Coturnix japonica: one gene and its partner. The protein of the gene in region 1 interacts with the protein of each later gene in a pairwise test. Links are inferred from orthologs where the notes say so. Each region holds a gene or a part of one and is shown on either strand. Other genes may lie near its edges.

Evidence for each region. The genes of interacting proteins can lie anywhere in the genome.
Region 2: the proteins of DAPP1 (region 1) and FXN interact in binary tests that used the Homo sapiens proteins (3 or more experiments, as listed by UniProt). The link is inferred for Coturnix japonica from reciprocal best matches to the Homo sapiens genes DAPP1 and FXN.

Annotation. Positions count from the first base shown.
Region 1 is NC_029519.1:54,061,541-54,065,673, reverse strand, and holds the start of DAPP1 (dual adapter for phosphotyrosine and 3-phosphotyrosine and 3-phosphoinositide), read right to left. Parts: upstream 2,801-4,133; 5' UTR 2,726-2,800; coding exon 2,670-2,725; intron 2,616-2,669; exon of another isoform or gene 2,447-2,615; coding exon of another isoform or gene 2,430-2,446; intron 1-2,429. UniProt on the Homo sapiens protein: May act as a B-cell-associated adapter that regulates B-cell antigen receptor (BCR)-signaling downstream of PI3K.
Region 2 is NC_029547.1:31,019,279-31,023,521, reverse strand, and holds the start of FXN (frataxin, mitochondrial), read right to left. Parts: upstream 2,801-4,243; 5' UTR 2,725-2,800; coding exon 2,596-2,724; intron 1,794-2,595; coding exon 1,711-1,793; intron 669-1,710; coding exon 548-668; intron 1-547.

The DNA of each region.
Region 1 (4,133 bases):
GCTGACTCCAGTCATCCATGCAGACCTCATAAGGAGAATCATGTCAGTTTCTTTCTCCTTTAAACCAATATACATATCTCTTGAAAAGCTTCAAAGCTCCCTTTTAGAGTCCGTACACTTAGAGAAGTAATTAATGAGGTAATGTGTTTTTTAACAAGTGTTTTGATTTTGATCTTCCTTTCGGTGGTGGTTCCACCTATGAACACCTTGACAACGATGCTGACAGTATTCTGGATTTCCCCTTTGAGTTTGACTATCTGACCACTAAACCTCTCAAACAGTGCAGAGGGCTCCCAATAAACAAGGTACCATCTTCCCTCAGACAGCATGAGCGAATGAACAGTTTAAAACAGGGAAGAAAAACGCCAACTCCATCACACTTGAAATCTTTTGTTTTCATGGAAAGGCCCCAAAAGTTCACGTTAATAAATACTGAGGCTCTTGAAAGCAGTGATACAACTTGATAAACCAGCTGTAGATATGCCTAGATCTCTCGGTGACTAGGATTACTCCTAAAGATAACTTGGATTGTTAATTTTTTTCCATTGATTAGTGATGGATGGTATACTCCTAATGAGGACAAAATAAGATGAGGATTTGAGTATATTGACTTTATCATTCTCCTTCCTGCCTTGCTCTCAACTAAGCAGTAATTACAATGTAATTCAATCTAGACAAGCCCAGCAAATACCAGATCCTCCAAGCCCAGCAGAGTGTCAGATGAGTATATAGTACAAAACCTATCTGCATGGCCGTCAACTTTCCGTCCTGATAACCAGCTGATCTGGTAAACTGAGATTATTCTGTCACCCATATCTTTCCCCTTAAAACGCTTCCCTTATCACACTTCTTCAAACCTCCTCCAGCTTCTTTGAATTCTGCACAGCGAAACAGAAGGTCTAAAATAACCCACTTCAGTTTGCCCCAATAGACAGACAAGCATCAAAGCTGCTCCCCATTTGAACGAGTCCTTTCTCTGTTGGTCTTTACTATGGCAATGATATATATTCCTCACTGGAACTAAGACTCGGTTGTGCTAGATACTATGTCGGATATAAGGGAGCCCATCACTGTCATAGCACCAGAGACTAACGTTAAGGGGGGAAAATATTGAATGTTAATGTCTGGGGAGTGAAAAAGTACTTCCATTGATATCTTTTAGACCGTGTTAGGTTTGTGAGATTTTTTCCTCTTTAAAAAATAAATAAGTAAATAAATAAAATTCAACTTCACGCTAGAAAAAAAAGGTTTTATCTAGTCATCTGTAGGGAGTCCTTGCTTGGAATTGCTTGTTCAGTTTTAGTTCATTTAGTTCAGTGCATTGTATTAAGGGGATGGCTGGTACTTTGTAGAAGGATGAAAAGTGTATATTTTCCTCTAAAGCAGAAATAAAATAAATAAGCTTCAGCTTAAAAATGGATCTGGGTAGCTTTCTCACTGAGTTGTCTTTTCTTCCTTGTACCACACTGAGCTGCAATCCCATGGGCCCATCAATTAGGATCAACATTGAAACAAGCAAAGCAATCGATGAGCATAGCTCACTGGTTTAGATAATCTCAAGCCATCTAGTCTAAATGAACAGAAGTTTAGCAATTTGGAACCACATTTTTCATAGCAGTTGCAACTCAACCTTTTTTTTCCCCTGAATTTTTTATTTTTTCATGAGAGAAATCTTACAGCTATGCAGGGAATGCAAATAACGCACACTGGCTACCATTACAAAAGTGACTTTACCTCATTGTTAGATGCTTCAACAACAGCCACTTCATTAACAGGTGCTTTCAAATATGGAAAACGATAAGCTGCATGGAGATGGCAATTCCAACTCTTTGCAGCCCAAGCTCTTCACTAAGTGAAGATCTTTACTAAGTGAAGATCTTTGCTACCACAGACCCTTCCCTTCCTGGTTGTGCAGTGCTGCTCCCCACCCTCTACTTCTTCCCCTCTGTGACAATGCTGTCTGTGGAAAAACTTCTGCTAGCCTTCTGGGTGTGGAAAGCAAAACTATCTGGAGCTGGCAAGTGGGCGAGCCAAGTCACCTGGCCAGTGGTGGGAAGGGAGCTGGACCCACAGCAACCTGCGGCTTCTTTTTGCTGCTGGGCTTTGTTTTGGGGTGAGGGTGGCACCTTCCCAGGGTGCCTGCAGCTGAAGCCAGGGAACAGCTTATTGCCCCCCGGGCTGTGCTGCTGGCTGACCAGGGCCCAGCACGCCTGGAGAAGGCGGTCCAGCTCTGGAGGTGCTGCCTTGGATGCTGGATGAGCAGGTGGCCAATGCCCCCCAAAAAATTCCCTTCCCTGGTCTCACATGGGAAGAACAGCACAAGAAAGGTCTCCCTGATGGAGGGGAATCTGCCACATCTTGGAGGAGCCACAGCCCCCTGGTTATGTTTGAAGCACCTGCCTGTTTTGCTAATAGTTTATACTTCACACCTGCGGCGTGCCAGCATCCTCAGCCTTCCGTCCCGGGGCTGAGCCCTGAGGGGCGCTCGTTATAACACGCCGCCGTCCGTTTACCCCCGGCCGTTCCGAACGAAGCCAGAACTAAGGCCGGCTGCCCCGCGGCCGCCATTTTGCGCGGGGATCCCCGCGCCCCTCAGCCGCCCCCCGGTCGCGGGTCGGGGTGCACATGGACGCCATTTCGGTGCGGACCCCCGCGCCGCCGCCGCTTACCCCAGCGCCCGCAGCTCCTCGTCCAGATGAGCGGCCGGCTCCCGGCCCTCGGTCATCGTCGCACCCGGTGACACCTCGTGCCCGCGGCCGCCTCCGTGTGGCGCTGGTAAGTGCGGGCGGTGCCTCCGGGCGGTGCCGGCCCCTCAGCGGCCGCATCGTTTCGGGGAGGGCCGGAGCGGGGCGGCTCCGTGCGGGCTGTACTACAGCGCTGCGACCGTTCAGCCCTCAGTTTCCTGAGCTGTTTCACGCTGGTAGCTGCGTGTTTGGCGATAACTGGTTTCTACGGCGACTTGTCATTCTTCTCCGCGTGAATTTTAGAGAGATCCCGCTGGTTATCTCTTAGAAACAGCAATAGGAAACTTAGGAAGTTTGCAGTTTCTAATCGTGCTTTCCCTGGCTGCAGGATTTTCTTCTCCTTTGCCTGACCATTCATACTGTCAACGAAGCATTCAGCTATAGACAACTTCATCAATTAACTTTTCCTTCCCTTACTACCTCTGCCTGCATTTGTCCCTTCCTCCATCTCTTAAAGCCTATGATCTAATATTCTCTCTGGTAATTTGATCCTGAAGTCTATGACTTTCAGATAAATAGGAGCTTTTGACATCTCCATGGTTTGCTTATATTTGTTTTGGTCTCCTATTCTGAAAGCTGCTTACTTTGTTTTCAGTAATGCTTCTGCCGAGTCCACTTCAGGTTATCTTGTTTGCCTGTGTTACTAAGAGAGTAAGAGAATTAAAAAGACAAAAAAGAGATGACATAAATTCCAAACAGTGACAAGTCACAACTAAATTTTAGCAAGTTCTAATTATATCACAGGTTATCTTAACATTTCAGCCTTCATACCAGAAGGTATTTTCCAGTCCCCCTGCATATTCTGTGCATTGGTGGCTGTGGTGGGTGAGGGTTCCCCTCTCGGTGCAGATGCTTCCTCTTACATTACATCTGGGAGTGCAACATTTCCTCTTTGTTTACAGAAAGAAATGAAAGTAGAAACTGAACTGTCATGCAGCATGGATCTGCCTTCTGTTTAATCGGGTCTATGCAGGTTTGGTTTTTCTTACATGCTTTAGCCACAAGGCAGGAAGGCTCCACATTGCCAGTTCACATTTCACAAAAGCCAACAGGCTGTAGTGTCGGGGTGTAGGTCTCTTCCCAAGCACAAAATCTTCACGCATTGCATTAGTGTTGGCTTTGAGCGCTGCACAGAGCAGACCTGTAGGTAGCAGCAGTGCTCCAACACTTGCTGTGCAGCCCTGAAAGGAACAGCAGAACAAAGCGTCTGAAAATTAGCACAGGGTTTTCTTTTCTGCCTCTTCACACCTTTCAGTGATCATAAAGCAGAAAGTGTGATGCCATTCAATAACAGTGCTTTGAAATCTTCTGGAACTGGCTGTCTTCTTATAGGTGAAAAAGAAAGAAGAAAAACAAAAAAACTATCATTTTAATTCCAGGTCATAATTA
Region 2 (4,243 bases), on another chromosome or scaffold:
AAACAGATTAAACATGTTAAAGGGAAGACCTGTGTTACACCTGCCAGTACAGGGAGAAACACAGTCTACTCCAAGTCACATAGAAACTGTAAGATATGGCCCATTTCAGGCATTTTATATAAAACTGATAAACTCCTGAAAGAAACACAATGGCATTTCTAATCAGCCTGTCACCTCTGCGAAAGAATTTAAGTGGGGGACCTACTAAAGGCTCCAATTGTCAGGCTATGGGATACCCTGTGTCCCACTGGACTGAAGCCTTCCCACTGTGGCAGACTCGCTTCTCATTTCTGCAGCCACCTACTGCAATGTTGCATCCTCTGTTGCTCCAGCACAGCCAGCTAAACTTTCTTTAAATCCTCAAATTATATGAGAGCACAAGGTACTTCTTACCAAAAGGCAGGTTTTTAGCAGTAAAGCCATAACAAATAAATACGAAAGATATTTTAACAGCTGTCACTAAGGTGACTGATGCAGAACTCTCCTCTGAAGTAAAAAATAAAAATCTACTAGAATTAGAATGGTTAATGCAATCTTTACAACATACCCCTAAAGAGACATCGTAGTCTTCTGGGGTAAAAGGCTTGTCCGTGAGGTCCTCAAAGAAATCTGCCAAGGAGTCCAGTGTTTCTTCAGCCAGCTTTTCGTAGGTGGTCTCATCTAAGGAGCTACAAATAACACACAGTCACATGGTGGGAGGGAGGGAAAACAGGGAAGGTGGTACATCATTGCTGTGTTTATCACAGGGAAAATATCAACACTGCTTCACGGTTAGCATTCCCTCTAAGGACACAAACAGTCATCTTCCTTGTGGTAATGGAGGTTACAATGCACTTTACATGTGGAGGTGGAATTTCAATATTTGGGTAGTAGAGACCTCTAACTAAAGATGGCATACTCAGTCTTATAGATATGATGGCCCCTGAGTATCAAGAAGACAGACACAGACTTCAAAATACAGTCTTTTTATGAAAACGATGTGCAAGAAGCACTATTTGAAGCTCCACAAATAGACTCAAGCACCTCCTGTTGAGGCACACACACCATTTGACAGTAAGGATCCAAATGCAGCCACAAGCAGCTTTAGAAACATGAGTGTCAAACCCTATGTCTACATGCAGCATTAGATTTCTCAGCTGGGATCAGCAATGCAATCCAGGTGTAGGACATCATTTACAACGTGCGTATGAACTAATCCTTCTACAATTACCTCCTTCAGAGAGTCTCAAAGCACCTTGTAGCCAACAATTAAGGTTTGCAACATCTGTGAGACAGCTTCTGTTATTCTCTTTAAGCAAGCAAAAGAAGTGAGAACAAAGTCTAAATAATTTTAATTAACCAAACGTAATCAAATCTCCTACGTTCTTCTACCCATAGCAGAGTCATTTTTAACTGAGCATGTAGGTGGGTATCTCCAGCAGCAGACAACTGGGAGAAACCATGTATTCTGCTAATAGGTGTGGCAAAACAACTGTTATAATGAACCAGGTGACTCAGTGTCTTTCAACTGACTAGAATGCTCTGTGTATTTTTCTTTAGGTTTCTTGTAAGCCAGCTGCCAAAACACACTGCATGACACTTGAGTCATGGCTGCCCCAGGAACACCCCACAGGTGTGGAGAACTGAGGGCATCAGGATCAGACAGGGCTTGTACACTGATACAACTCAGGCACCCAGGTATCCCTAGAATATCCTGAGTACGAAATTTACCTTTTGTCATTCAGAGTTCCTGTACTTCTTAAATTCATGAAGTGCACAGCACTGCTCCTCACCTCCGCAGCATACTGCAATTGCTATTGAAAAAGGGAAATTAAAAGATATAACGTGAAGACCACAAACTGTGTATTGGTCACACAAATCAAACAGAGCCACTGTAGGAAGGACTATACAGGGAATCCTTCAGTGACCCGGGCACAGCCCCTCTGAGGGGAAGGACACACCGTTACGGGCCGTCCATCAGGCACAGCCGGCCTGCTGCCATGTACAGCCCGGGACAGCGCTTCTTCCTGGGTGACCCGGCGACTCCGTGTGCACCGAAAGCCATCAGACCGCGCAGAAAAGCAGATGCCGTTTTAACAGGCACACGGCCGCGCCTCTTCGTGCTCAGGAGAGGAAAACAACGCTCCTCCCTGCTCGGTTCGGTGCTGCGGACGCACGGCCGCTCCCAGGCCGCGATCCCAGCACGGAGCACAGCACCGTCCCGTGCCACCGCAACCCCGACGGCCCATAAAGGACACTGCGACCCCTCCGCGTTTTCGATGCTCTCGGGGCCCAAACCCACGGGCCCACTCCAGCCCTCAGGGTCAGGCCACGAGGCTGCGGCTCCATCGCTGCTCTCACTCCCGACGGCTGCACCCGGTGCCATGGAAGCTGCCAGCAGCCCCGGCCTAGCGGAGAGGCGGGCCCGGCGAGGCCTCGGCTGGCCCCGTGCCTGGGCGACCGCAGGGGCTGGAGGAAGCGCCCGGCCCGGCGCCGCGCCTTCCCCGCCCCGGGACCGGCAGCACCCCGCCCGGCCCGGCGCCGCCAGCTCGCCCCCTCCCGCCCTGGGCGCAGACCGCTCCCGTCCGCCGCCGCCGCCCGCTCTCACTCACTCACCGCCCGGCTGCGGACCGCGGCTGCTGCCCCCGCCCTCGAGGCCTCCCCGGGGCCACCGCTCCTCCGCCGCGCTGCCGCCGCCACACGCCGTGCCGCACGCACAGCAGCGGCCGCCCCCGGCCTCCACATGCCGCCCCGTTCGCTGCGGAACAGGCCGGGGAGGAGCCGGCACCGAGCAGGCCGCTACCGCCCTCCGCCGGCACCGACCAGCAGCGCGGGGCCGGGCCGCGAGCACAGCGGGTGGCTGCAAAAACTCCTTAAAGAGTTGCAAAACCTTTTGTAACCTTCAGTGTTTCATAGCGTCTCACGTACTAGAGAAAGAAACAGTATCCAAGTTATGACCATGAATGCTGCTGAGCTGCCATCCCTTGTTGCTCCCAGTAGAGTAACATAGTTGCAGAACAAAACAAAACCCCAAGAAGGGAAGAGCTGGAAGTGCATGCGCTTTGCTGAAGGTTGTCTCAGTGAGCTCGGTAGCCTGCCAGGATTTCCTATCTCAAGTATTCAGTGCCTGTTTTCACTTACAAGAAACTGTTAAAGACCCTGTACACAAAGTGTGGCTCATTCTGCAAATCGTTTAATATAGACACTGTGGTTTCGGACAGAATGGCTGCAATTACATCTGGTGTCCCTTGGAGTCTTCCCACAGATGGGTGAATTGGACACTACACCCCTATGGGTTGTTTAGGGGAATACTTGACAGATATTTGCCTTCTGGAGGTTAACCTAGTGCTAAAAAGCTCCTTTATTTTACTCCAAATGACACTAACCCTAACTGTCTGCATATGGGTGCACTTTAAATATGGTACACGCTATGTGTGGTGGAGCAGACAGCTCTCATCTACAGTATCCTTTGCCCTTGGGGCACGCAGATTTGTCTCTTGCTTTAATGACACAAGGTCATCTCCTTGCTGAGACTGAGCAATCCAATTTCAAAGCATGGAAAAGGGGCAATCATGGCACACAGGCTCCAGGTTAATAGAGACTCAAAGAGAAGAAAATCCATCCATGGTTAGATTTTGCTATTCTGTGCACAACAGAGGAGCAATAACCTCCTCCTTGTTGACATTACAGGATTAGATCAGTATAAAATGTGCCAATGCAAAATTCCTTCAGGGGTACAAAGCGGAACTTTAGGGATTAAAGTGCCAAATGCTGTGTTGGCAGTGCAGCAGGTTCACCTGCTCGTACTCCTGCATTAACTGCTATTACCCCTGACTCCCATAAACTTTTGAAGCAATGGCTACGTGGCCTTTTCTCTTTGTTTGTTTGCTTTTAAACACTGTCACATCAAGGTAGAAAGTCTTTGGTTGATGGTAGCTGGTGCTTGTGGCCGTCTCTCAGCTGCTGGAGAAATTAAGGGAACCAAAACAGCATCTGTATTTATCTTGAAGCAGCTGCTAATAGAGAAAAACCTGACACGTTGCAGTGAAGCACCTGGAGCACTGTTATGCCCTTTGCTTTTTCCTTTCCTTGTTCTGTGCAACTTAAGATTCTCCCCTTCATTATAGAGCTGGCAGAAGACAAGTTCAGGTGCCAACTTACAGCTGATGCGTCTCTGGAGGTGCCACTCAAGTCCATGAGACACAGTCAGAGCAGGAGCACACTGACAGCCGCGATAGTCTTGAGAACAAAATACTTTATTCGT